Linked DNA regions of Mytilus edulis. The protein of the gene in region 4 purifies or fractionates together with the protein of the main gene of each other region. This does not show direct contact. Links are inferred from orthologs where the notes say so. Each region holds a gene or a part of one and is shown on either strand. Other genes may lie near its edges.

Region 1 (7,749 bases), on a different chromosome or scaffold from region 4:
TTCCATGTATAGCTTTGACATCAAAATAAAAAACAATGTTTTACAATATTATCTCCCTTGATGTTATAAATAATAAATTGACTTTATAACAAATTCTGTCTCATATTTTACATACCATATATGGCCTGGTTTTTGGTCTGTCTCCTTCCCATTCTTGGGTAGAATTCATTTGCCAAATCATCTTCTGTAACCTCAAATCTTTCTACTTCTGGTGAAGACATAGTTCACTGTCTAAACAACATGAACAACAAACTGAAAGCAATCATTGCATGATATTGAAATACAAACACAGTTTTGAACATGGTTTGTACATGCAAATTTAAGTTTTGTTTTGTAAAAAATTTATTTCTTCTTTTTTTTTTAATTGTTTTCAAAGAATCTTAAAATTTCCCAATCTTTTTGATTGGATGAGAATTTTAAATCATTTTTGGACATGTATATACCAGTATGACCATGTAAATCATGTTGATGACCAGCCTCATATCAAATATGACGAAAATGCGTTTAACTGATAAATCTACGACAAAGGAACTTCAAATTGTGATCGTTGGAGAAGTATTAAAATTCAAATGTGAACTGTCAGTGGGGAAACAATTTTGATCAAATGAAGAAACTATACTCCTGGATGTTGCAATGCAGACTTACTGATTTTCCTGGGGAAAATAATTGTGATGGTCAATTATGAGGTTTATAAATAATTAACAGATTAGTGACCCATAGGATGGCAATAAGCGGATTAGTTGTAATCACAACTTGTAACACCTGTAAATGTAAATTACCTAAGGGTCATAAACTTGTCAAAAACATAAAGACAGGTAAATTTAAAGTATTTTAATGTGAAAATATTTTTACACTTCCAAAATTTAAAAAAAAAATAACGAAATTGATTTGAAATACATTACTTTAGTCAATGCGAAAACCATTTCGTAAATTATGAAAGTGAAGAGGGCTAGCAAAACCACTGATTGTATGGCTGTTTAGCTGGGTTTTTTTTAGATAGGTAGTGGCTTCTAATGCCTGACTTATTTTAATATCATAATCATAGGGTAGGGCTGCAAATAGAACATTATCAAATGAAGAGGGCAAAACGGCTATAGATGAAATGGTACTGTGGTCGAACAAGTTGTGTATCTGTATATCATGTATATCTAAGTTGTTATAAATTATGAACCTAACAAGTTACAGATAATTTTTGATGAACCATATGCATAAAACATTATTAACTTCTTCTTCTTCATCTTCCTCTTTTAGGAACACCCCTCTTTTGAGGGTAATATGGATAAAAGTCTTTAACTATGTACACACTCTGTGAATATATGTAAACACTTGCTAAAATCTAAAATAGACTTAAGTTTCTGAGTTGACTGATAATTGTCAACAGCCAATACACACTTATCAGTTTTAGTGTTGTGTTATGCATCTTGTAGCACATATCTCTTGTGAGCATTTTTATAGTCGCTGTCAGCTGAAATTCGTAGCGGTTATCGGTAAAACTAATCTAGACTATCAACCACGTTCATTCATGATATAGTTTTTCATATTCCATTCATAAATCGCAAAAAGAAAAACCACACTACTGACCTACCTTTTAAGTGATTGCAATGTGATAATCCTGACCTTCACATTTTCCAAGACGATTTTGAATGGTGGAATCCGCCATTGTTTTTACCGGAAGTGCTTCCGTGGAGATCAGTTTCATAAAATTTGCATAAAGCGCGGGAAACCTTATCACATCAATGAAAAGAACATTTCAGGAAACTGTGTAAGTGACGAATATCATATGTAAACTAATGATCCTCATAGAAAGAAGATGGTGGAATTACAATGGAAAACATTCTGGAAAATGTGAAGGTCAGGATTATATGGGGACAAAGTCCCCAATTACGGTAGAAAAATCAATAAAAAATTTTTTTTTTTTAAATTTCGGGAAAATTTCCCGAATTTTTCATTGTACTAATGAACTCAAAATCGTTAACTTTTTTTTCAGATCTACTTCCGTTTCCAGTCTTCTTCCGTTTCCGGTCTTGTTTGCATGAGACTTTGAATAAAATGTATATTTATCAATATATCAACAAATATTATATAGGAAGGAAATCAACACCCAATCATTTTTAATAATTGTTTGATATGAAAAAAACGTTACCTGGATAACAGCGTTTCTATGTTTACATTGAATATTACGTCATAACTTAAATAACGTCACAACTAAACCCCTTACAACAGAACCAACATCGGAAACGTTACGGTATTTCCGTTTCTTTTATCAACATGTTTGAATTAAAAAAAAAAATTACAGACTTCGTCCCCATTCACAGGTAATGGCTGCCTCATATTATGATTACTACAGTGTGATGACTTAAAAGGTAGGTCAGTAGTGGTTTGACTTTTTGCGATTTATGAATGGAATGTGAAAAACTATATCTCGAGTGAAAGCGATTGATAGGTTAGATTATTTTTACCGATAACCGCTACGAATTTCAACTGAGGGCGACTATAGTTCTTCTATTTTGAGCTTGCTTTCACTAAATATATATGTGAAGTTTGTACAGTCAATTACAAGGACTGTAATTTTATGTCTATCAATGAATGTTCTCTTTCCACTTCATTTGACATTCCTCCAATGATATTTGGTTACATAAGTTTTTATCTGGTTGAAAGTTTCTTTTCTTGTCTCACTTTAATGCTGAGCAGGTAGTAAGCATATGAGTAAGGTCTTCTGGTTCTTGATTGCACATTTGACGAGTTGGAGCAATTTCATATCTGCTGAATTTTATGCCGATCAGCTTGTAGTTGTAGGGTATACGTTCGTGTCATCATCCTACTTTTGGCATTAACGTAACTTACAGGTAATCTTAAAATCAAAAAATTCTAAATATTTTGAGTTCATAAACCTGTATACCTGCTAGCTAATGAAGCACCGTCTGTATGGTCTATCAGCTAAATACTTCTGCTTTGCAAAACCAGAAGGGAACACAAACAATTTTTCTTCAACGTTCAATAGTATTTTTTAAGGTCAAGTTACAGTAAATGGGCTATGTCATAGATTTCAGTAAAATTTGGCATACAGCTCTGGCTCGATGAACTTCAACTGAAAATCGAAATAATAATGCATTTATCTCAATTATCATTTGAAATATTACTGATTGAATTCTTACAAAATGGGTGAACATTTGTATAGAAAGCACATAAAATCGGCGAAAACTCTTCTAAAATTTGTCTTAAAATCGCCAAATCTCTAATTCTACTCCATAGATTTTTCTTAAAAAACTATATGTTGTTGATACATAAATTTCCGTTATAATGATGCAAAATAAAGATAGGGTCACCGACTTCGTTTTTACGGTATATATCATTCAAAGATGCGTTCTTTGTGAAAAAAACCAACAAAACGTCGAAATAATCGTAACGTTATCGCGTTGCAGGCCGTAAAACGTTGATTTTTGACGTTTTTCACTACCAATAAGGTAGCAAAATGATTATTAGACAAAAAACGAAGTCGGTGACCCTATGATTATTTTATATCATTAAAACAGAAATTTATGTGTCAACAATATATAGTTTTTTAAGAAAAATCTATGGAGTAGAATTATAGATTTGGCGATTTAAAGACAAATTTTAGAAGGTTTTTAGTCGATTTTATGTGCTTCCTATATACAAATGTTCACCCATATTAAGAGAAATCAATCTGCAATTTTTCAGAAAATAAAAGAGATAAATGTATAAATTTTTCGATTTTCAGTTGTAGTTCAACGAGCCAAGGTTGTATGCAATTTTTTAACAAAATCTGCGACATAGCCCATTTACTGTTCCTTGACCTTAATGCATTCGTATTTGAAAACACGACAATGATAATGACTAAAATTTAATATTTAACCAACTTCGGTTATGAAAAAGCTATAATTTCCGTGTTTAATGAAATCATTTAGGTTTGTTTTATTTGTGTAGTCATTGTATGATTTGGCTTATGTTACTGCTTTTTGTATCGCATAGATTATATAAATCATTCTAATTTTCTGATTATTATTTTTTTGTCGTCACTTTATGCCGCCCCTCTTTACATGTATTTCTCAGAATAAGTTTGAAAAATGATCAACCCGGCTCAACTTTATAAGAAAATGTTAGATTAGTTAGTTTTAGTTTAAACATTTTTATAATATGTATAGTGGATTGGGGAACACGTTATTGAAACTCATATTTATCCCTTTCTTAATTTCTGGTGCTGCATTTTATTATTTATTCTGCATGCCTTGTTTTATTTGTTATTGCATATGTTTTTATATTCGGTGAATAGCTCATTAGAGCTTATGTTTGTACTGTTTGTCAATATGCCGAGTCCAAATATAGTTTTACTTATACTTACTTACCTACTTTTCTTTTTTTTTGCGCGTGCGAGTGTTACCTTGTAGAGGCATTATGTTGCTCTTTTTTCGAAATCTACAAGGGAAATGTGGTATGAGTGCCAATGAGCATGATGGGACAACTCTCCAAGTCATAATTTGTTAAAGTAAACCGTTGTAGGTCAAAGTACGGTCTTCAACACGGAGCCTTATTTGGCTCAAACCGAACAGCTAGCTATAAATTGCCCAAACATGACTAGTGTAATAGCATTCAAACAAGAAACCCGACGGCCTTAACTAATTAAAAAATGTGAAACGAGAAACACTTATGAAAAACATCAACAAACAGCAACCGCTGAACAACAGGTTCCTTACTTATCCGCGGACAGGTACAAAAAGATACAGCGGGTTTAAACATTAAAAATAATTTTGTTGTAAGGACAATGGTTAAGGTTTTTCTTGTTTGTGTTAAAACAAACATGAGTTCCCAATCAAATTGTTCCTCATCTATTTCATATTGTATTCCCATGTGTATAACTCTATGAATGAGATTTATAGGATATTTTAGAATAAAGTCGGGGCAAATAAGACAAGACTGTGAGTGAAGAGTGAAGTCATATTCTAATTTGAAAATAAACACTCTATTTACATATTTTTTTACATAAATTTCTAATTATGCAGTTTTTGAGGTGATGTTGCTATAGATAATATATGTTTCCATAGTAACAATTGAAGTCAACAACACTTGACGATAGTAATTTAAAGTTTGCGTTAGCTTTTATATATTTTTATCGGTTATGACATTTAAGCTCTCAAACTGCGATATTCTGCAAATAAAAAATCGGTTGCTATGGTGATAAAACTATAGAAAATCCCACGTATTTTTTTTTCATTTAATTTGGTAAAGTAGTATCCAAACTTCATAACTACAGTGCTAACTATTCTGTACACATTTGGACTTTTCTAAAAAAAAACACCAGAGAAAATTTGATAATTTAGAAGAAGAAAAAAAACAATTTCAGAAAAGTTGAAAATATCACGACATTTTGTCATTTGGCTGACATGCAATCTTCACTAAAATGAAGCTTAAACCAAGTTGTATCAATGTTACATATGAACATTAATGAAAAATACATGATTCTATTCATAATCAGGCTCTAAATTGCGGTGATTTAGCTGATTTTTTAAAGCTTTTTCTACTCTTAACAACCAAAAAATAGATTGTTCGTTAACATGGCAACCATTCATATTTTCCCACTCATAATTATTTTTGAGCAGTATTCATTATTTACTGCTTCTACTATGTCAATTATAAGATAAAATCTGAAACCTTCATATATCGCACTCTTCCTGGTTCTTACAAAGAGTTGTACTTAAATCTAGCATTGGACATCCTTTTTTTCATATAAAGTATAAGTAAAATCATTCGAAAGTAAATAAACTCATCATAGATATGTGAACGTGGAAAAAGTCGCACTAATTTATGTATTTCTTATTTCGGACATTTGGACTTGTTTCTTATATTATTTATAGTTTCTGTTTAATCTTTCGGACAATTTCATTCTAATTCAACAGACAATGTACTTTGATTTGCATTCTTAAAGATCTTTCATGTGTGTCACTTTTTAATCTAAAACTGTGAGAAAAACTATACAAGGGATTGTGTTAATTTATGTTACACAACTATTTCATTTCATAATTATTTTAATCCGTTAATGTCGTACATAGATAATTCTTTTCAATATATATTTTATCAGTTCTTGTCCAGGACATGTTTGATAACAATGACATTAATCCGTTTTTCAATTACGGTCTATTGTTACTTTAAAGTGTTAATCTTATGTTTGTAAAATTTGTCAACTTTATTGTTATGTAATCTTAATTCTTTGACAACCTGTAAACATTGTCTATCTTTATAATGTTTCGACTGAAGTTAATTCTTTAGTCGGAGTCAGCCTTTTGAACTGACATCATCCGTTCATTAAAGTGAAAATAAAATCTATACTGAAAGTCTTCGTTTGTATTCGCTCTACCAGTCTGTGAGTTAGTTCCGCCAGTGGATTTATGTTCAATAGGCAGGGGACCAGTCTTCGGTCACTGTCATTCGTTTCGGCATCTTCGCCAGTTTCAGCAACAGAACCTGTTGCACGGTATCAAACATTCCAGTTACAACAACGTTGTCACATTTGGCGGAGGTAATCCAGAGGCGTGTTGTCTTTTTAGTACAACACACGGTACCGCGTACCTCAGCAGTCAAGCGACCAGAGTTCTTCCCCATCTTCGTATCAACTTTCAGTGATGGATTTTAATCTAAGACCGCAGTGGAGTATGTGGAGACAGAATCATTTCACACATCAATATCCAGTTTGTGGTAAATGTGGACTTGCACATCATCGTTTCGAAATGTGTCTAGCTTACAACAAAAGATGTTTCTCGTGCGACAAATTCGGACATTTCGCAAGACAGTGTTTCACAGCTAGACCAAGTTTATTCGGTAAAGTTCGATTTACTAAATCAACAAGTTCGAAAGTGTCAAGTGAACAAAAGAATTCAACAAAAAAACAACTTAGAGACAATCGCCGTTTAATACAGTATTATTCAAATAAAAACAGTCTCAGGGAATTGCCATTCAGCAGTGTGCGAAATTCAGCATTCATGAACTTTTTCGACCAGGCAGCCCCAATGAAAGTCGAACTAAAACAAGCAAACATTCAATTACGGAAAAATAAATCAGTGGTTTCCGCAAAATCAGAACTTTTAAAAAGTGCACAAGAGACTATAAGAACTCTCACCTGCAAACTAGTGAAAAGTCAAAACCAACTAGATTCGACAGAGCAGTTGAAAGAATGTTTAGACAAAATCACCAAACTAGAGAAAGAAAAGGAAGACAATGCTGCATGCACGAAAAAAATATCAGATCTAAACAATTTCCTAATTCTAAAATGTGACTATCAAACTAATGAAATCGGAAATATTGCTACTCTAAACCATGAACTTCGGAACAAATTTAAAATTCTAACAGATCAATCTGCCGATATGGAAAATCAAATAAGAATTTGTAGGAATAATCATATAAATCGTCCCAATGCAAGTCAGTGTTCCAGAAATGGACGTTTCAACAACCAAAGAACTTTTTATAGATAATTGTCATTTTTTCAATACTTGCGAAACGCGAGGACGCGTTTCATTCGAGGAGGGAGAAATCTGTGAACGTGGAAAAAGTCGCACTAATTTATGTATTTCTTATTTCGGACATTTGGACTTGTTTCTTATATTATTTATAGTTTCTGTTTAATCTTTCGGACAATTTCATTCTAATTCAACAGACAATGTACTTTGATTTGCATTCTTAAAGATCTTTCATGTGTGTCACTTTTTAATCTAAAACTGTGAGAAAAACTATACAAGGGAT
Region 2 (7,475 bases), on a different chromosome or scaffold from region 4:
GTGTTTATTTGTTAAAAAGCAGTAGTAACAGTTACATTTGTATATACAAATTGACCACTTACCTAAAACTGCAACTTTTGACACAATACTGTAGATAACATCAACAATCAAGTATGAAACCCCTTACAGTAGGAATTACAATATAAATCATACTGGCATGAAGACAAATCTACTTATCAAGAGCTATATAAAATGGTCAACACTGCTCAGTTATCAAGGTACATCTATAAAGCTGTTGATCCTGATACCTTTGTTCATGTAAATAATATTATCATGTCTTAACCAATTTTCTTTTTTTCTATTTTTCAATATCTAAGAGCTGAAAATGTCATGTATTCAAATTGCTCTTATGTAACAAATGTTATTCTAACATAGAGTCTGAGCTATATTGATTTTAATAATGATTTATAAAATATATCTTGATAAATAAAATTTATTTTATTTACCAACTGCAATAAATGCTGGTTAACACTTGAATATTTTTGCTGTAAAATTCACATGAACAAGTAATTTCCAGGCAAACTTCAAGCCATTAAAAACAACCATCACTATACATTTGTTTATTCTTGATTACAAAGCTGTCTTTACAGAATTACATATCAAAATGGATTGTTCCTTCTTTACATAGTACAACTGACTGTTATAAAATGAAAATATTTGGTGGTATTTGACATATTTCTGCTGTAACAACTACAACACACAAAAGTCAACAAACTAAACATAAAATAATTTCTATCTCATCATACATATGTTTACCACTTCCATTCATACAAATGATGTTGATAACGCAGGTCAAACAAAATTAAAGATCAAATGCTCTCACACCCGGCCACCAATGAGTATGAAAAAAGTGTTCTTGGAAATTTTTTATTTTTTTCACTTTCAATTTGAAATAGAAGCCCTTTCTAAAAGCCATAACAAACAAAGTACATTATGTTCTCATATAAAATATTATGATCAAGTGGGACAATACGGCCCTCTAATTTTATTTTGCTTGGCCTCATGAAGAAATGATAGCTATATGTAATGTATTACACCAAAAATGTTGCCTTTAGTTTAATGTATATGTTATATGAATAAACCAAAAGGCTTGTTTTTATGTGAAAATAAAATATGACCATCTTAACTGTTTTTCTGTAGGTTTTCTCTGTTTTACATGTACCCAGTACATTTAACACATTGAGAACACTTCGAGAGTTTACAATGGTCAACTTATATCTCCTTCAATATGAACAAAAGGAGATTAGAATGAAATATCTACAAAATAGCAACCAGATATTACAATTAAACCAAAGCCTAATTTATGATCTCTTACAATTGACAAGCATGAGGACTATTCCATTTAAATGGTTTTGAGAGGGCAAGAAGGGGCTACCCTAACTCCACAAACAACCAAAATAATATGGATTCGATATTATTTGTAAGAAACAAATTTTCATGGATTTTGTGAGTAGAGGCGAACCACATATTCAAATGTTCAACAAACCACTAATTTTCTATAGACTTGTATGCAGACTTTTGTAAAATCACGAAATCCAAATATCCACGAAAATGCATTTTTTGGTTTAATCTATGAAAATTGGTACCCTCTGTAAATATAGAAAAATAAAATATGGATTCTGAACATTTCTTTTTTTTACATTTTTGTAGGTTTTACTGTATTTCATGTTAAAGCAGGTTTCACAAGTAAAACTGTGAGCTAGTGCTCACTGATGATACCCGCGATGAAATATTTCGGAATACTGTTTTTTTTTTTTTTTTTTTTGTTTTTTTTTGTTTTTTTTTGTTTTTTTTTTATAATATGGATATATGGATGGCTGTTAAAATTTAACTTCCATTGCATGCAAATCAAATATATATTCAGGGCGAGTACATTATAATGCGATATGAATATGGACCCTTCTTTGTGCAAGACCTGCATGCTGAGCCGAACTTTAAGCTTCTAATTCACGAGACACGATCTAAAACAGTCCTCAGGAAGACAAGTCACCCTAACCAGACACGTTAATCATAATCCAGGCTGACATGTTCGCTCTTACTCCTAGCTAGGGTGTCACGCGTCTAGCGGAGTAGCAGCAAATACTCAAGTTTCAAGTCTTTGGTTTGATCCAGTCCACGGTACCATGCGACCACGCCGAGTGAGGCATTGTGTTTTCTAAGTACTTTATTACTGATATAAATCAATTTTGAGATAGCAACAGTGAGCAAATTATAGTAAGTGCGTACCTACTTCCTCTTCCAGAAAAATCGCTGAAGAACGTGTTTTAACAACGACTGAACTTAAAGATGCTACTGAACACCAAAGGCATCAACTATAATTAAATTGAGAATGGAAAGTGGAAATATGTCAAAGAGACAACAACCCGACCAAAGAGCAAGACAACAACTGAAGACCACCAATGGGTCTTCAACATAGCGAGAAAATACTGCACCCAGAGGTGGTTCTCATCTGGTCCCTAATTAAAATTGTGTATATTAGTTCTCAATCAGTGAAAATGGACGTCACACTAAACTCCGAAACATATAAACGAACTAAAAATTAGAAATACACACAAGACTAACAAAGGCCAGAGCTTTCTGACTTGAGACATGTTTTCCTAAATAACACAAGAAATCTTTTTTTTTTAAATCTAGGTTTCAAATATTGTAAGATATTAACTTTTCCATCAGCCTTAAACGCTTTTTGTTTTTATGTACTAGTATTAGACAGTTTGTTTGTTTGTCTCCGTTGACAGTTATGATTTCTATACTTTGTTTACGACACTTTCTCATAAACGCTTCACTTAATTGTATCACAAATATGGAGATTTCTTGCGGAAGTAAGACACCCCACCTGACAAGAATTCATAAAAACAATGTCAACTAGATTTGTAATTGCTAGCAATAACGGATGGCACCCTTCCCCCATTGCCAGGTGAGCGGCAGCCATTTTGAAAAATTCAAAGTCAAAGATAACATATACACATGCCAATTAACATTTTTGTAAAGTTTCGTCAATTTTGGAGCATTTTGAAATTTTTGAAATTTTTGCTATTTCAATGGTTACGGGTACCATTTCCAAAATTTCAAAGACAGAAGCAACTTTGAGACATGCCATGTAACATATTGATTAAGTTGTAGAAGGTTTGATTTAATATTCTTGCAGGAACTGCAGCTTCAAAATGTTTTCCCTTAGGGCCAATGTTAAACCTTTGCCCTGTTTCCATGACAATGGTGGCCATTTTGGGATTTCCTAATATTGTCACAACATCTAGGCATACCAAGGAACATTACCATAAAATTTCATCCAGCTAGATCTTATAATGAAAGATTTAGAAATTGCATTTTTTTTCACATTTTATCAGTTTCCATGGCAACGGCAGCCATCTTGATGATGCCATACCCCGTTTGCACAATTTCATATAGTGGTCTACATTATGGTATAGTTCCATCAATATTGTTCAAGCCAATTCTGAGAAATAGCATGGACAAAATGTGTGGAAGAATAAATAAAATAATAAGAAAAAAAGAAACGTAGAATAACAATATGTCACCCAAACTCCGTTTAGGGTGCCATAATTAACACTGAGCTTTTTACGTTAATATTTATACTTAGGTACATACATGTAATAGAATTTGTCTTTCAAGTAAATCTTTTTTTTTTGGCCCTAATAGGCGCTGCCTTTTTGTTAGTAACGGTTGTACCAGTAGTGTAGCTTTGTAGTTCAATCATTGCATTGTATTTTGGGGACGAGAATGCTTCGTTTATATTTTTTCTAGATCAGTACTAACATATACTTCTATACTGATGGAACTATATTACTATTAAGTACACTGAATAGTCCAGGATTGCATTGAGACTTTATCGATGGTTAGAAATGAATCACTATAGATTATCAGAAATTGGAATAATAAAAGATTCTATAAGTAAAGAATTTAAATGAATTTATTGACTGGTATTTTTTTTAACATAAGTCATATTTATGTCTTTTCACAATAAAAAAACCCCTATCTTTTCGGTTATTGATTCTTCTGGGACTGACCAATATCCGAGACATATATGTCACTAAAATGATATACAGTCAGTGGACATAAAAGAGTTCCCACTCAAAAAATGTCCTATCATTTCCAGTAAAATCGATATTTATCAAAAAAATATCCCCAGTCACTTTATTTTCTTTGTGTTCACCTCGTCAGAAAATTAAATGAAGCGATGATGAATAACATCTTCGCTTTTCACAAAAATAAATCTAGGGGAGGGGTCTGAAGGAACTTTTACTTTTTACTGGCAATTAAGTTGACCCCACCATGCATAAGTTTTTAACAATATTTCCTTTAAATATTAGAACAAGCTTTCTTAAATAACAATCACCCATCAAATTTTGATATTAGTGCTTTCCTATATCATATCTATTTTTTTTTTATATTTATATATCGATGTGGACTTTTTTTTAGTGGCCACACTATTATCCGGATTAATTTCCGACTATAGATCTGAATTTATAATTTCATCACGTGACATATTCAAAATGGCGCTTTGCTGTGCAAGTAAGAAAGAAAAAGAAAAATCTAATGTTTTCTCATATATTTCGAATCCCAATTACATCTACTGCATTTCAGCAATCGCTACAAGTTAACACAATATCAATGAATGTCTACATTCAATTTATATTTCAGTACTTCTCAAAATACACACCATACAACAACATGCTTGCCATGCCGGCTTAAAACAGGCATGAGAATCGTAGATTAAAATGATGCTTATGGATACAAATTTATAAATGAGCATTTTGTTGAGGTGGTAACATCAAACATTCAATCTCAAAGAAATCTTGTTAACACCAATGAAATGTCACATGTAATTGAATACCTAAATGATTTGAATTGCCTTTTGAAAATAAGGAGATTACGGTACGATGCCAAAACACCTTATCGCAATTCGGAGATCTACCTGTCTACCTAAGTTTTTCCATACACAGGAGATCAGTTTGATCCTCTATATTTGGCTCTGGTTCATCGTCACTAACTACACTTGTGCTACTTCCGGTGTTATAGGTGTATTCAGTGTCAAAGTTTTAAATAGGGCTCTCCACAGTTAGTTCAGCCATATTGGATAGGGGGCAGATTTTTATCAAAGAGTTGGAAACAGTATGAAAGTATGGGAAATCCTATGCATGTTTCTAAGCAACTGCTCTATTTTAACAATGTATTCCCTCATTTTTCACACTACTTTTATCTCTTTAGTGACAATCTGCCCCCTATTCAATATGGCTGAACTAACCGTGAAGGAGCCTATTATTGGGTGTTCTTTCCAATGTTTCTCTAGACGATTTCCAAAAATCTTTACATTCTGCTTGATGCAAGTTTTAACATGGGTTTAACTTTGACTCATACAACAATCACTTTTCCATTGTGGTGTCGGATATTTTCTGATGTGACTTCAACATTTTCTGGGAACCTTTGCAATGACCAATGTCCAATTGTTTCATATTTTCATGTTGGGGCCTTTTATAACCAACTATACAGTACTTCCGATTTATTTGATCTTTGGCGGACAAATAGCAATAAGGTGTATGACAACTATCCACCAAAGATCAAATAATATAGGAAGTAAGAAATTACATGTATATGGCTTTTAACTATGAGAAAAACAATACTGTATAGTTGGTTATAAAAGCACACAAGTACATGTAGAATAGGCTTTTCTCATCAAGAAAGCTTAGAACATATTGAGAATCAAGCAATGATTGCTTATTGTTGATACAAATGACACATATTCTTTTAGTCAGTAATGAAGTTCCAGAACAGCCAGTTATATCTCCTGTGTCAGGACATGTCTATGAGAAAAGACTGATAGAGAAATATATAAAGGAGAATGGAGTTGATCCAATGAATGGAGAATCAGTAGCTGTAGAAACACTCATAGAAATAAAAGGTAAGTAGCATGACTTGTAATGAAAATAAACTTACAAAATTCAAGTGTATGCTTTCAAAAGGGGACATGTAATAGGAAAGAAAAGAAAATACACTTACAGGATTCCTGTACATGCATAAAAAAGGAGGACATGAACCATAAACGATGTATGAAATGGAGAAAAAAGGTTATTTAATGACCTAATAACATAATACAGTATATTGAAATATAAGATTAAGGTACATGGACCCTTTATAAAAATGGTACAGAATTCAGGAGGTTTTAAAGATATGCACTCTTAATAGAAAATATAATTAATACTGAAAAAGAATGCTCTCAAACATTATCATGATTATGCAGCAGTAAAAGTTTGCATGTAATATTTAGAAAAAGTCATTGCAGTCATTCTTATTGACCAAAGGAATCAACGTCCTGAGTGGTGAACAACTTTAAATAAAGAAGATTCTGGGTATTTCCCAGTGCAACAATAATCCAATCACAAAAATAATTGAAAGACATCTAGAGGTCAACATACAATTTTCCCCTGTAGCACATATAGGTAGAGTGATATTTAGTTAACCTCATCGAAATTTACAAAATTGTTTACAAAGTAAATCAATTCTTGTTTCACAGTTTTGTTTATTTTGAACTCTCAGTCTGACATTAGATAAAAAGCTCCTGTTTATATTTCAAATTTTTGATTTGACCAATCCTTTTTACATCAGACCAAGAAAAAAAGAGAAAGCATATTCCAAATTTACTGATTTTTAATATTATCTCATAGGATATGCTTTCTGATAATATTAGTCTTTCTTAAATCATTGTAAATGTGAACATCTGTGTTCTCTTTAGAAAGAAACAATAAAGATCATTAAATGGATTGAACAAATTCATCATGTAAATGATTAGTTCGTCATGTTTTTGGATAATATATTACAAGTGTATTTTGTTATTTTTAGCTAACCCTCTAGTAAAACCAAGACCTGCTTCTGCCACTAGTATTCCAGCCATTTTGAAGGTTTTACAAGATGAATGGGTAAGAAGTTTATCTGTTTTAACACCCAATCTATATAAATTAAACAAACATTCAGACATTTAGTTTATCTGTTTTAATTAAGTCTGGTTGTATACTTTCATAACTTTCAGATGCTTTGAAGTGACTTTAATGAGATTTGCTGCGGATATATATTCAAATTAAAAATGAAGATTCAAAAAATATCATTAGCCTATTTACAATCCATAAGTTTAAAAGAAAAAATAATTATAGGTTTATTTGAATTTTTTTGAGATATAGAACATGTAGAATATTTATTATACCCCCGCTTTAAAAAAGGGAGGGTATACTGTTTTACCTCTGTTTGTCCTTCCGTCAGTCCCATGAATATTTTTTTTCATCGCATTTTTCTCAGGAACTACAATACAAGGATTTCTGAAATTTGGTTTCAGGGTTTATCTAAGTCAGCTATACCGTGTGATGCATTTTCAGATTGATCACTCAACAACTTCATGTTTACCGAACACTTGTATGATTTTACACATGATAGCCAAGTTGAAAATTTTCGTCACATTTTTCTCAGGAACT
Region 3 (7,757 bases), on a different chromosome or scaffold from region 4:
TTTGACAGAAAAGGAAAACGAACTTATTGTTATGTGTTTTCAACAAGGGTTTCGTTCCGCTAAATTATTTGCGCAAATAAAGTTTGTCTATTTTTAGATTACAGGTAATAATTTGACACTACGCATTAACCTGTGTAGTGATTTTGATTTTACGATAAATGTATGAATGAACGATAATTTTATGAATGAACAAGAGCACCTGACCTCTTAAAGAAACACAAATTAAACATAAAAAACCGTATTTATTAGGAGATAATTCAGTTAAATTTTCAATACTAAATCAGCAACTGAAATGAATCCATATTTTGTTGAAACATCGTACGAACGGCGGAAAACGGAATCGCATTTATAAAAATGTACTTTTTTTCACTCGGACTTCTATGTTATTTGATAGTCAAACGGTTGACCCTTTAAATACAAAAATACATCTACAAGAACATATTCTGAAACTTCTTAAATCTACTAACTTTTTTTTAAAGTTTCAAGCTATGTATTGCATTAGAAAACATACATAGGTGTTAAAGAATGACTGACCAGGAGCCTGTTTAACAAAATACTATGGCTTGATCTGGGCGGAGTCTCTGATCTGGGTCACAAAGATGGCCATACGCGACGGCATAAAAGCAATTGCTTTAAAAATCCAATATGGTGTCCATAACATGTTTTTACTTTTGCACATGTGAAAAAATATTTCTCACAAAAGTCAGATTTCTCTTGTCAAAAGGGATTTATATTTATATTGCAATAAATTATTCAGAAGGATCTACATTCAGTTAAGATTATATTTCTGATTCTGTGAGCAATTATAGTTTTATCAAATTCTCCCAAACAGCAACGTGTTGACTGTCTAATGAGACTTGTAAATTTGAACTATTTGAATAAAAGGGCATCTAATTTACATGATAAAGGAAGATTATAATTAAAGACAACAATTTATCGAGAAATAATTCCTTTTTATTCAGTAAAAACAAAATCTTCTTGCATGATTGTAAATTCGCAACTTCCGGATCCATTTCCTGTCAGAATAACTTTGAAAATATTCGATTGCACATGGTTTTGAACAAATCTACCTGAATATTCTTATCAGATATTCGATAACACGATGAAATTAACATTGAGCATATAGGTAAGGGTTTGGTAGTACAAACAACTACAGCGTAAAAAAACTGTGCCACTTCACATGTTTTACTTCTTTACGTTCGTTAAATCAGAAGATAAAAACAGAGAACATCGAATATCGATTAACTGCGTCTCTTATACGCTTTCTTTTAATCTTATTTAGTTACTTTCAAACGCAAAGATGACAAATATTAAGTTTCGTACGATGACGGAGCGGACCCAAAATAAATCCGAAGAAAAAAAAAAATTCTTCCATAAAACGTCAAAAAAAGAATTTGAGTCGGCTGGTTTATTTTGGGTCGGTCGCGTTTGGGCAAACATACAATCTTTTTATTTTGGCCTTGGTGATTATTTCTTAATGAATCAGAATACCTTTTTGATTTCCTTTTTCTTTCTCTAGACCTTGATCTTTTTCTGTCCTTACTTCTTGAACGTGGTTTTCTTGGTGATCGTGATCTAGATCTTCGTCTGTTATTAGAAACTTTTTCCTCTTTAAATTCCCCTGCTAATATATTTGACTTTTTTTATAAATAAGTTCATGAAGTACAGTATTTTAGATATTGTGATTTGTCTGTATATTGTCAAATGTGTATTATATTTATATTTTTAATATGCCTAATAATATAGGACCAACATGAAACAATAAACTGATACAACATTTATTTTTGAACACAAAAGAAGTTGCAATGGTTTGTTGTATTTTTACACATGATTAAAAAGCCTGAAAAGTTTTAAAGTTTAGGACTTTTAACTTTTAGAATTTAGTCAAGTGGTCCTCCATCACAAGTAATTTTCTTACTCTGTATCTTTAAACAACTGTTTGTTCCTTCTCTTCAAACATATGTTGACTTCAAGATATATTTTTGTATTTTGTATTATGAAGGTTGCTGTCTTACTGATATAAAATATGCATTGAAAATTACAGAAGAATAGAGCACCTGTTAATATCTTTAATTTTACTATGTGATGTTTTGTGAACTTATATTGTGTTTTGACTTTACAGTGTTTTTCTTTTTTTATCATGGTATTCACTATTGTAGGTTTTTGAGGGATTTTTTTTCAACTGTTGTCTTCATATCCTCTTCCTCTTTTAAGGAAAACCAGGACGACATGAAATAATACACAAATTTGCAATTTTTTTGCCTAACTAGCCCATGTTTGATTTTTATACATCATTGACCATGATAATGGTAGAATGTAAAACTCAAAAGCAGTATCCACATTTCTAACAGCTTAATAAAATTCTGATATGTAGATGGACTGTTTCTTGGATAAGTTGTTGTTTGCAAAATTATTATTGCATGTCCATTAACAAAATAGCTAATAATCAATCAAGGATCCCTATCTCTCTGTACAAGAAAACCAGTTACATACCAATTCCTAAAAGTAAAAAAAAGTTAATAAGTTGTAAAATGAAAGTATGAACATGATGAAGGGACTAACACATTTTTTGCATATAACATAATTCAAATACATTCCTTTTGAAATGTACCTGAATGAATCTAATCTATGCCCCCCATGATGGAATCAGTCTAGCTTTGATTTAAAGTTTTACTTCTATATACATGTATGTGTATGCATTTTTTCAATAATTTTCTTAACATTTTAATTACAAGGCAATGGCAGATACAGAAGGGAGGGGGTACTGACTACCATATGAGGGGGCCTGCTCCAATGATACCCTGAATATTCAACCAATATTTCCCACAAAAGAAGGGCCCAGGCCCCCTGTTCCACCTAAATCTGCCTCTACAAGAATTTCATTTCAAACTGCTTGAAAAGTTGACCATGATAAATCAATAATATAAATTTATTTTTGTTGAAAATTTCACAAAGGAAATATAACTAGAGGCTCTCAAGAGCCTGTGTCGCTCACCTGTTAATGTGTTTACTGATGTCGGCCATCTTCGTTGGTAGGCGGGGTCATTAGACACTTTTTTTTTTAAATAGATACCCTAGTACAATGTATTATGATTGTAGCGAAGTTTGATTAAATTTGGACAAGTCGTTTTCGAAAAGATTTTTATACAAGTTACAAAAATGACGAAAAGTTGTTCAATATTGACTATAAAGGGCAATAACTCCTTAAGGGGTCCTCTAACAATTTTGATCATGCTGACTTATTTGTAGATCTTACTTTGCTGAACATTATTGCTGTTTACAGTTTATCTCTATCTATAATAGTATTCAAGATAATAACCAAAAACTGCAAAATATCCTTAAAATCACAAATTTTAGGGCAGCAACCCAACAACCGGTTGTCCGATTCAACTCAAAATTTGTGAGGGGATATATCTTATTCTGATGGACATTTAAATGTTGAAAGATTTGCCCTAAATGTCTTAGTTTCAAAGATATAAAGCAAAAACTGCATTTTACCACTATGTTCTAATTTTAGCCATGTCGGCCATTTTGTTTAGTAGGCTGGGTCATCGGACACATTTTTTAAACTATAAACCACAATGATAATTGTGGCCAAGTTTGGTTAAATTTGGCAAAGTAGTTTTGGAGAAGAAGATTTTTAGAAAAGTTTCAAAAAATGACGAAAAGTTGTTAAAAATTTACTATAAAGGGCAATAACTCCTTAAGGGGTCAACTGACAATTTTGGTCATGTTGACTTATTTGTAGGTCTTACCTTGCTGAACATTATTGCTGTTTACAGTTTATCTCTATCTACATGTATAATAATATTCAAGATAATAACCAAAAACAGCAATATTTTCCTAAAATTACCAATTCAGGGGCAGCAACCCGACAATGGGTTGTCCGATTCATCTGAAAATTTCAGGGCAGATAGATCTTGACCTGATAAACAATTTTACCCCTTGTCAGATTTGCTCTAAATGCTTTGGTTTTTGAGTTATAAGCCAAAAACTGCATTTTACCCCTATGTTCTATTTTTAGCCATGGCAGCCATCTTGGTTGGTTGGCCGGGTCACGCCACACATTTTTTAAACTAGATATCCCAATGATGATTGTGGCCAAGTTTGGTTTAGTTTGGCATGGTAGTTTCAGAGGAGAAGATTTTTGTAAAAGATTACTAAGATTTACGAAAAATGGTTAAAAATTGACTATAAAGGCCAATAACTCCTAAAGGGGTCAACTGACCATTTTAAATATATTGACTTATTTGTAGATCTTACTTTGCTGAACATTATTGCTGTTTACAGTTTATCTCTATCTATAATAATATTCAAGATAATAACCAAAAACAACAAAATTGCCCTAAAATTTCCAATTCAGGGGCAGCAACCCAACAACCGGTTGTCAGATTCATCTGAAAATTTCAGGGCAGATAGATCTTGACCTGATAAACAATTTTACCCCATATCAGATTTGCTCTAAATGCTTTGGTTTTTGAGTTATAAGCCAAAAACTGCATTTTACCCCTATGTTCTATTTTTAGCCATGGCGGCCATCTTGGTTGGTTTGACGGGTCACGCCACACATTTTTTAAACTAGATACCCCAAGGATGATTGTGGCCAAGTTTGGTAGAATTTGGCCCAGTAGTTTCAGAGGAGAAGATTTTTGTAAAAGTTTACGGACGACGGACGACAGACGACGGACGACGGACGCAGGACGACGGACGACGGACGCCAAGTGATGAGAAAAGCTCACTTGACCTTTCAGGTCAGGTGAGCTAAAAACAAAAAGGAAATATAAAAACAAAAAGTTTTCAGAGTGATCTTTAAACATGATTAACAAATGGGTATGATGAACATATATGAAGTTTGAGATTGAAATGTGAGGAAATAGAGGGGAGGTACAATGTATGGGTGCACAAAAACATGTTTAACTCCACCATATTCTGTATGTTCCTGACCCAGACCAGTATTTCCAGCAACCTGCAAATGTATTATTCAGTGGTTGCTGTTTGTTGCTGTATATTATTTTTGAATTTTATTTGCTCTTTTTGAACAAAATCCATTTGTTAATTTTCTACAGTGAATTTTTACCGTTTGGCATGCCACATTACAAGAGAAGATAATTTACATGAGAGATAAAAAGTTAAAAGACAATGATTGAAGACAGCATTTCAAAGCATGCTTGAGGTTTTGTTCTTTGTTCAAGGTCACCAGACAGATTTCACGAAAATGGTAGGTCCTGCCGGTCCTGTCGGTCAAAATGAGGCTTGAACCAATATTTTGAAAGCTAGTTCCGGTCCTGATGACCGATGTAAAAATGGCCGTCGCAGTGCCTTTTTAATCGGTAATTAGTTACACTGCAATACATATTTACCTCGGTCATCAGATGTACCTGCTGGTAATTTCCGGTACTGGTTTCCTATTATAAACAAACGGAAACCTACGGAAACGAAAGCGCCAATCTACATGTGGCCTGCTAAATTTGTTCATTAAGCCATCCCAGGCAAACAATCGATGATTGAACCCTTTGGTGGAGATAACAAATACTGAGAAATTGATTCAGATGATGAAATGGATAGTGAAGATGACTTTAAATAAGAACAATCAGAAGATAAGAATCAGTTATTCATTGTTTATTTGCCGGTGGCTGTGAAAAATCAAACTAACAATAATAAAGTTATTTTAGATAAAATATTTTATTTTTATTTTAGGATAAAATTGACAGATTTTTTAGGACTGGCTAAAATTTTGTAGGACTGACTTTTATTGATCTTGCTTTATCGGTCCCATGGCCAACGGGTCAAAACAAGTTTTCGCGAACTCTGACCAGATGAGATTTAGTAACTAAACTCTATTTCATTTGGTATCTGATGGATTATTATCTCAAATGGCAATAATACATTATCTCCTTATATTATATAGTGAAGGAATGCCAGAATACCAGGAGAGAAACAATTAATTAAGCTCGAAAACTGTAAAACATAACTCACAAAGGCAGCAGAATGCAATGCACAAGATCATGATTTGACAATTTTTAGAAAAGTCTTAACCCTTTCAACGCTATACACGGCATATGTCGCGATGACATACGCCGTCCGCCACTGCTATTCGCGGCATATGCCGCGATGACAACGGATTTTTCATAAGGACTCTTAAACCATTCGGTTTTCATTCGGGTCCTCTCTAATTTTTCCTTGTATGAATCTAGGATATGCAAGGTCTCATTTGCGCTTGAAATCCCGGCATTTTTTATTGTAAAATCATGCAGTAGAAGGAAAATTGAAGGAAAATAAAAACAAATATTTTGACAAATGCAAATGGCGGAAATCGGAAAGGAAGCTGTAAATATGGAAATATTTCAGCATTTCTATGGCAAAACTGATGACTAGGATTAGTTAAAAGGTTTCTTGTTATCTCAATGTGTTTATTACATTCAATTCGTGTGGAAAATATGATTTGATCGATCATTACGAGTCGTAGAAAAAGGGGGGAAAACAGAGATTGACTGAAAATTTTGAGGACGGAGCCACTGATTTGTGCCATGATAACATAATACGTTATGTATGGTGCAATACGCTACGGAATCGAGCAATTGGTGTCTTCTTTATTATATGGCAGATAAAAAAACAAAATAGATGAAGACTAAAAGTAGTTTTTATTCAAAATTCAACACAAATGTAATAAATTACACCTTTTACCTGTTAATTACCTGAAAATGCAGGTAACCTGATACAAATTTTACTGAAATAACTGCCTAACATTACAGTTCATACTCTCCTGAGCATTTTTCATGCAATAACTTTTTCTGTATCTCTTATAATAAAAAAGATACAGCAGTCTGAAAAGAAATATACTGTTCTAATGAATAAACACAAAAAAAATGCAGCAGCAGCAGCCATTTTTCTCTTTTTTTGTGTAGCGTTGAAAGGGTTAAAAGAATTCCAAATGACAGTTTAAAATTTATAGCTTTTGCAACGTTTCGGCAAAAAACCTGTTCAGCTTAATGTGGTTTAGGTCATTAACTAGTTCATTTTGGCCCATTATACTTTTTTTTGGTTCTATCAATGTTTTGAATAATACATTCATTTTATAAAATAAGAGGTAGGTAAATATATCTTTATATGTAATGTAGACTTTCTAAATAAAGATAAACTTGTATGATCAAGCCTCAAGGATGTGTAACTACTTCTATACATCATTGGTGTCATGCAGAGCAGAGTCCGATTTAAAAAGGACCAGAAAAAAATTTGGTTGATTATATAGGTTATTACTGACGAATGACTGGAGCACCCCCTTCTTAGGCAGTTCCCCAACTTACAAAAATTTCTGGATTGACCACTGTAGACTAATTATATAAGTAGCAAGAAAAACAGTCCATTTCTGTGGCCTTTAAAGTTTTATAGCCGACTATGCAGTATGGATGCTCATTGTTGTTTTCATTTTTGTAAAACATTACGACGAAAAATCATGAGAGTAATAAAGTGATTTTTTTTCAGTTATCAAGGACGAGGGTGAATAATAAATAAATGAAAGAATGTGAACATGATGAACAACAAAAATCTCTTTTAATAATGTATGACTGAAATTAAGTTTACTTCATGGCCGAATCATCTCTCTTCCTTTAAATCAAATCAGCACTGTCCTCTACTCAAGCTCTGAACAGCAGTATCATCGAAATAGCAACATATTATTTATAAATAAAGATAACACTTCTGCTCCATTTGGACTAAATTGTTACCCTGACGAATAAGAATCAAAGAACGCGTTACGT
Region 4 (6,935 bases):
CAACAGGCTGCCAAAAGAATAAGGCGAAGCAAATCGGCACCAAATAGTGGCAGGTCATGCTCTGTGTCAGATTCGTCGAAAGGCGGTCAGGGTACAGGCGAGGAAACTAAGTCAGCATGTCTTCCAAACATATTCAAGATGCAGCAAAAAAACAGTGACAAATACAAAGACCAAAACAATCAACAGGAACAAATAACAACACCACCGATATCTTCTCCCGATTCAAATCCTCCACCATATCAAGACTCATTACAATATATTAACTGCGATCCTGCAAGTAACAACTTAGAAAATGTTCCAGTGAATAAATGTCACAAGGATGAATGGTCAGACACAAAGGATGAGACAACAGTTCCTTTACTGGAAAAAATACAAAATAACAAGTAAGTCTATTTACATGTATATATAAACATCTGAGACTTAACATTGTAACTTTATACCTAAGGAAATGTGTCACAGGAAATTCAATATATGATACATGTAGTTTAATATATGTACAATTACATAATGTAAAACTAAGTATGATAGTTTATGTTATATTTTTACAGATTAAACCTGATAACAATTTGTTAAAAACACTCGATATATTTTTGATTTTTTTTTGGGGGGGGGGGGAGAGAAGGCATCATAATTGGAACATATTCTCATACTACCAAGATTACCTGTGATTAGTAAAAAATTTACTCTGTACTTTTCTTTAATAATTAAAACCTAAACATTCCAAGGCCTTTGTATTTTGCTTTAACAACTAAATTCAAAAATTTCGTGGCTGTAACTCAATTCTGTTTTAAACACAAAATTTAAAACAGTCTTTCAAATTTTTTAACTTGACTTGTGTGCAGATCTCTCCATTTAAATATGGCTATTTTAGTTCATTTTTGTTGTTGGGTTGCAGCACTGAATTTTTGTTACCCCAATTCTATTTTTACTAAATACAACTACAAAATATTTAATGTGTGTATATTGTTAGGGATAATACCATAATGGTCATATACATTAACATGTACAATACACAAATCCGATCCTTTTTTTTTTAACAAATAATACATGTACCATATAATATACAAGTCCAATCTTTTTTTTATAAAAAATAATGCCATATGTAAATTGTAATACACAAGTCTAATCTCATTCAACAATATGTTGTATCTTTCTAGAAAGTTAATTGTCAATATATAATCAATATTCAACATTTGTCACATTTTGCTTGTTATTTGAGATAGGGCATCAGTAACATCAATAAGTAGCCACATATATATCCAAATCATTTGTCAATTCAAATTAATAAAATAATACATAATTTTCAAATATGATATTTTGTAAACAAAAAATCAGGATTAATTAAAAAAAACATAGATATAAAAAAAAAAAAAGAAAGAAGAAATTGAGACCTATAAATGAAGTTGAGACCTAGAGATGAATGTACTAATTTCTTTCTCTGGCCAAAAATATAATATTAATGGACAATGATGGATAGGTGCCTGTTTCCATTATAACTTTGTTTACTTATGTCATATATTAGAGGTGGTTTTGTGTATCTAGATAATTAACAACTGATGTTTGTACATCACCCTCTACACTTTCCCAATCAATACACTGTTTTATCCACTGATCATTGTTTACAATTTGCTCCTAGTATCTAAACAAGTAAGAGCTGGATTTCTATCGCAGAATCCACTTTCCTATGATTTCTGTACACTGTGTAACTATTTAGCTTATTACACCTAGCTTTAGTACAGGTAAACGCTAGTATTGGATTACACATCTAAAATCATCCTGCTTTTCAGAAATCAATTTCCATCTATTTTGTGACACTAGTGTAGCTTATTCTCGATTTAAGTTATGGAGGCCAATTCATTGATTGAAAGGATTTTTTCCAATTTGTGTAATGTAAAGTAAACTTGGATTATCTTTAAGGAAATTATCTATTTTTGGAATTATATGAAAAATTCAGTTGCCATTGGTGACATGAATGGCTTAATTGCATTTCAGAATCTGGCTTCATATGTGTAACTTGATTTGTAAGTCTTTGACGCTTGTATGTGTGTCATGGATTAAATTATGTTAACACATTGATGTGTGAATTATTCATAATGAACTGCCTAAGCTCCACCAATTGATTCAGATTCAATGGAAAGGCTTTAAGATGCACATGTGTGTTTATTTACATTTGGTATCAAAAGGAATTATTTAAGAATGATTTTCTTAACAATGCCTTCATCTGCAATTGTCATTACTGTGCTTTTTGGGGGAAATCGTGATTGAAACTACAAGAATTGACTTCTTAATACACACAATTATCAAAGAGCTAACGATGGACTGGGGTTACGAACCAAAACTGGACATATCTTATACTTTCTAAAGCAGAATTAGTAAACAATGGCAACTTTAGTGTCAGCCATTTTGGAAACATTGTAAGTTTGTTTATCTATTTAAAACATTATCTATTGTACTTAATTATATTTAGATTTTACCTCAAACTCATTAAGAAACTGTGCAACTCCACCATAACTTAACCTCTTCTTTTCGAAACCCAATTTGTCCGCCGGTGGTAAGTATGGGACAGGATCCCTGGCAGCAAAAAGAGCCAGCAAGTTTGGAGGTAAGAAAGCAGTCATTTTGTTCAAGTATCTCTCAGTAACTTGTCTTTAAAATGTTCAACAGCCTCTATCGACCCTCATTCAAATACACAGCGGTAAATGTAAAACGCCAATTTGTCTTCTCTGACCAACACATGCAATTTACCACGTCCCTAAATAACTCGATTGAGACGTCTGTTCTTCGTTGCTTTGTACTGTGCCGATAAATGACGTACCACAGGGAATAAGGTGAAGTATTATCCTCGCAGTGAATTAATATTTTAACGTAAGTTTTCTTATCAAGAGAAGAAATATGTAGTATTCTAGAATGTCAAAGCTGATTGACTTTATATGCTTTGTGCCATAGGAAGAATAAACTGTTAATGGTAATTTAATATTCACTGCATAAAGCACCTGTTAGTCGATAACCAAAGTTGTTTGTAAACGGGTTTCTGATTGGTTAATCGATCAAAGTCTCAACTCTCTATCATATACTCAATGGGTTCATGTCAACGTAAGATCAACAGTAAATTGTAGCGATTCAGGGTGAAATTTTTGCATGAGAAATGGTTTGTTAATTTATTGAACCCTACTCATCATGTTTATAAAACAGCAACGCTTAATTACATGCAACAAACTATGAAAAAAGTGCAAAATGGACAGTGAAAAAGTGACATTGACTTGAGATTGTTTTATGCAGACGATAATCTTAGTTTGGAAAGAACATGTACTTTTAAGAAAGTGTGTTTAAGAAATTATGCTTTGACATCAGTGCCAATGATTTACAGTCAAAGTGAATTTTATGATTATAACATTTGCAAAGGTGATCACAATCTTAACACAGTTTTCTTTTTGACAACTTAGACTAGTTTAGAACTGTACAAAATAGGCTTTGGCATTGAGTCAAGAAATTAAAAATTGCTTTAACAACTGTTCTATAGCACACAATGGAAATGATTAAACAGCTTACAAATAGGAAAATTAATTTGTGATTTTAATAACTGGAATATATTTATTCATGAAAAGATGACATGAACAAAACTAAATGTTGTAAGTAGGGCTTACATTTATATGCAAAATGGAGGTGGCTATGATGAGCTTAGAACAAGGTAATGGTGGGCCTAATTGTAATTACCAGCGTCAAAATCATGTTCTTCCCAATTCCAGGTCTTATCCAAAGCCAACCGATGATGTCGATGGTATGGGGCCCAGTGATATGGCAGGTAGTGACTATGAGTGCAGTGAACGAGTGGTAATCAATGTAAGTGGTCTACGATTTGAAACACAATTACGGACTTTAAACCAATTCCCAGAGACATTACTAGGGAATCCACAGAAACGAAATAGATACTATGATCCACTAAGAAATGAATACTTTTTTGATCGGAACCGACCAAGTTTTGATGCAGTGTTATATTATTACCAAAGTGGTGGGCGTTTAAGAAGGCCAGTTAATGTTCCATTAGATGTTTTCTCAGAGGAAATTAAATTTTATGAACTAGGAGATGATGCTATTCAAAAGTATAGGGAGGATGAAGGATTTATCAAGGAAGAAGAAAAACCATTACCTACAAATATATTCCAGAGACGAGTTTGGCTGTTGTTTGAATATCCAGAAAGTTCAACTTCAGCCAGGCTAATTGCAATATTCTCAGTGGTTGTTATTTTAATGTCAATTGTGATCTTTTGCTTAGAAACATTACCAGAATTCAAAAAGTATCGATATTTGAACAAAACTAGTGAAACTGGCAATTCCACAACACCATCGATTGAGGAAGATGATATTCCTCAGTTTAATGAACCTTTTTTCATTATAGAAACCTGCTGCATTATTTGGTTCACTTTTGAGCTTTTAGTTAGATATGCTTCCTGTCCTGGAAAATTAGGATTCTTTAAAAATGTAATGAATCTTATAGATATTGTGGCAATCATTCCATATTTTATCACTCTAGGTACCGTAATTGCCGATGAAGGTAAATCGAACAACCAGGCCATGTCTCTTGCTATCCTTAGAGTGATAAGATTAGTACGAGTGTTTAGGATATTTAAATTATCAAGACATTCAAAGGGACTACAAATATTAGGACAGACTTTAAGAGCCAGTATGCGAGAATTGGGATTGCTCATTTTCTTCCTCTTCATTGGAGTTATATTGTTTTCTAGTGCAGTGTATTTTGCAGAGGCAGATGCAGAAAGTACGCATTTCCATAGTATACCTGATGCCTTCTGGTGGGCGGTTGTAACTATGACAACCGTCGGCTACGGTGACATGCGACCGATAGGAGTTTGGGGAAAGCTTGTAGGTTCATTATGTGCCATCGCTGGTGTACTAACAATTGCATTACCCGTGCCTGTGATTGTTTCAAACTTCAACTACTTTTATCATAGAGAGGCAGAGAATGATGATAAAACGAACTACCATCATGTACAAAGTTGTCCAAACTACTCAAATAGCAAGAAAAGTTCAATTGCTTCTAGCGGTTCAGAAAATATTATGGAAATGGAGGAAGGCAGTAGTTTTATTAATGTGAATAGTGACAGATCGAAAGAAAACCACACAAACAAGGTAAACAACCCTTCTAGTATGAATAACTTAAGCATTGAGACTGATGTATGACAAAAACTGTTACAACATTAGAACTTTTTACTCATCAAGTTGTTTGTAACTGGGAATTTAACTGTGTTTTGACTGAAGTTAACACTTTCCTTGCATTTTATTATATTATATCCTATAATATTTATTAAGATTCATTTTGAATTTCTCAACTCCAAAAGTCTTTCATCTTTGCACCAATCATTAAAGCACCTGCAATTTGTATTTTTATCTTTGGAATTATGAACACCTTTCATACTAGATGGATTCATGACAGCTTTCCATTATAACACAACTAAAACCAGAAATCATAGCGTTAATACACACGAAAAGGTATACATCAAATACATGTAACAAGGATCAGTGTTTATTTATATGAAGATATTCAAAAATAGTGAGGGCTAGGATACAAAATTCAGTGATAAAAAACTTTACATTTCCAATTCTGATTATTCTATAGATGGTCATGGATTTATTCTACTTCTGTGATTATAAATGAAGATTTGTGCTAACTAATGAAGAATTTCCAAATTAACTTTCATTCTATTATAAGTGGTTGTTAGAAGTGAACCAAAACACGGAAGTTGTCGAGAAAGATGATGGAATGGCTGACAGAAACAAAGAAAGAGACTCAGACAGAAATGATTGAAGCTCAAACTGGTGGACATAATGCTGACAAAGGTAAGATGATTATACTTTTATTAGACAATTAATAAAAAATCACAAACAGAAGAAAAAATGGAGGAATATATATATGAAAAGGGTAATATTTGAAGAAAACAGAATTGCCAAAATGTTTGAACCGCTTGCAGAGTAACCATAGATACATTGTAGTTGCTGCTTTGTCTTTAAATTAGAGGACCATGAAACTGCCTATGATTTTTTATTGGTGTAGTTTTGAGAAACTTTTACATTCCACTTTCATTTATGAGCCGACAAAACAAAAATCTATTAGCAATATAATTTGATCATCACTTTAACACTTTTAAATCTGTTATCATAGTTATATTATTTATTTATTTCTACATCTATACACTTTACTGTAAGGTAGTTCAGAATCATTACATAGAATTATTACTACATATATTTCATGAATATGCTTATAATTATCACAAAATATTTGTACATGTATATAATGTGCATCAATTACATACAGTACATACAGGTGCTGCAGTTATGGCTCTGAACTAAAGTCGACTGTGTATTGTGGTTATTTATCACTAATGAAGAAACTAATTAACCCACATACAACAGGGAGAACCTATTAATCAATACTGTTATAATAATACATGTAGTTCGTAGTGTAGGGGTTGATAATATCAAAATATCTACCAAAGTCCTAAAAAATTGGGCATTTAAAAACAAAACTCTAATAAATGAGAGATTATTTTGGGTGTTGCAGTGAATTTTTTTTGTTTGTTATCTTACATGTCTTAGAGATAATTTTGGTTAAAATGTACAGTTCCATCATATATTTCATTTGTCTGAACTTTTCCTGAAGCCAGTATATTTGTATAAAACATGATAAATAATAACTCCTAGTGCATTATTAGTGCAGGGGTTGATATGTATTAGCAAACTATCTATCTACCATGGTCCTTGAAAATCTGATAGTTTTTTTTTTTAACAAATTCTACTGCAAGTTAGATTATTTTGGGTGTTGCAGTGAAATTTTCTTATCTGTGATCATTTAATACATGATTTATTTTTGAAAGTCAAGTTCCAGTACCTTCATGACCTTTTCTGAAGCCAGTATATAAACA

Evidence for each region.
Region 1: the proteins of U1 small nuclear ribonucleoprotein 70 kDa-like (region 4) and tuftelin-interacting protein 11-like fractionate together in Homo sapiens (co-fractionation; 3 studies listed by BioGRID, with this or other methods). This does not show direct contact. The link is inferred for Mytilus edulis from reciprocal best matches to the Homo sapiens genes SNRNP70 and TFIP11.
Region 2: the proteins of U1 small nuclear ribonucleoprotein 70 kDa-like (region 4) and pre-mRNA-processing factor 19-like fractionate together in Homo sapiens (co-fractionation; 3 studies listed by BioGRID, with this or other methods). This does not show direct contact. The link is inferred for Mytilus edulis from reciprocal best matches to the Homo sapiens genes SNRNP70 and PRPF19.
Region 3: the proteins of U1 small nuclear ribonucleoprotein 70 kDa-like (region 4) and splicing factor U2AF 50 kDa subunit-like purify together in Homo sapiens (affinity purification with mass spectrometry; 4 studies listed by BioGRID, with this or other methods). This does not show direct contact. The link is inferred for Mytilus edulis from reciprocal best matches to the Homo sapiens genes SNRNP70 and U2AF2.

Annotation. Positions count from the first base shown.
Region 1 is NC_092353.1:62,694,276-62,702,024, reverse strand, and holds the start of tuftelin-interacting protein 11-like, read right to left. Parts: upstream 3,012-7,749; 5' UTR 2,900-3,011; intron 1,685-2,899; exon of another isoform or gene 1,586-1,684; intron 253-1,585; 5' UTR 222-252; coding exon 116-221; intron 1-115. UniProt on the Homo sapiens protein: Involved in pre-mRNA splicing, specifically in spliceosome disassembly during late-stage splicing events. Intron turnover seems to proceed through reactions in two lariat-intron associated complexes termed Intron Large (IL) and Intron Small (IS).
Region 2 is NC_092349.1:80,858,341-80,865,815, forward strand, and holds the start of pre-mRNA-processing factor 19-like, read left to right. Parts: upstream 1-4,467; 5' UTR 4,468-4,508; coding exon 4,509-4,527; intron 4,528-5,764; coding exon 5,765-5,914; intron 5,915-6,852; coding exon 6,853-6,929; intron 6,930-7,475. UniProt on the Homo sapiens protein: Ubiquitin-protein ligase which is a core component of several complexes mainly involved pre-mRNA splicing and DNA repair. Required for pre-mRNA splicing as component of the spliceosome.
Region 3 is NC_092352.1:31,991,521-31,999,277, reverse strand, and holds the start of splicing factor U2AF 50 kDa subunit-like, read right to left. Parts: upstream 3,025-7,757; coding exon 3,012-3,024; intron 2,500-3,011; coding exon 2,494-2,499; intron 1,622-2,493; coding exon 1,492-1,621; intron 1-1,491. UniProt on the Homo sapiens protein: Plays a role in pre-mRNA splicing and 3'-end processing. By recruiting PRPF19 and the PRP19C/Prp19 complex/NTC/Nineteen complex to the RNA polymerase II C-terminal domain (CTD), and thereby pre-mRNA, may couple transcription to splicing.
Region 4 is NC_092350.1:51,881,873-51,888,807, reverse strand, and holds the start of U1 small nuclear ribonucleoprotein 70 kDa-like, read right to left. Parts: upstream 3,026-6,935; 5' UTR 2,619-3,025; coding exon 2,475-2,618; intron 384-2,474; coding exon of another isoform or gene 1-383. Other genes in the region: potassium voltage-gated channel subfamily A member 1-like, read left to right, coding at 1-383, 3,747-5,145, 5,726-5,821. UniProt on the Homo sapiens protein: Component of the spliceosomal U1 snRNP, which is essential for recognition of the pre-mRNA 5' splice-site and the subsequent assembly of the spliceosome. SNRNP70 binds to the loop I region of U1-snRNA.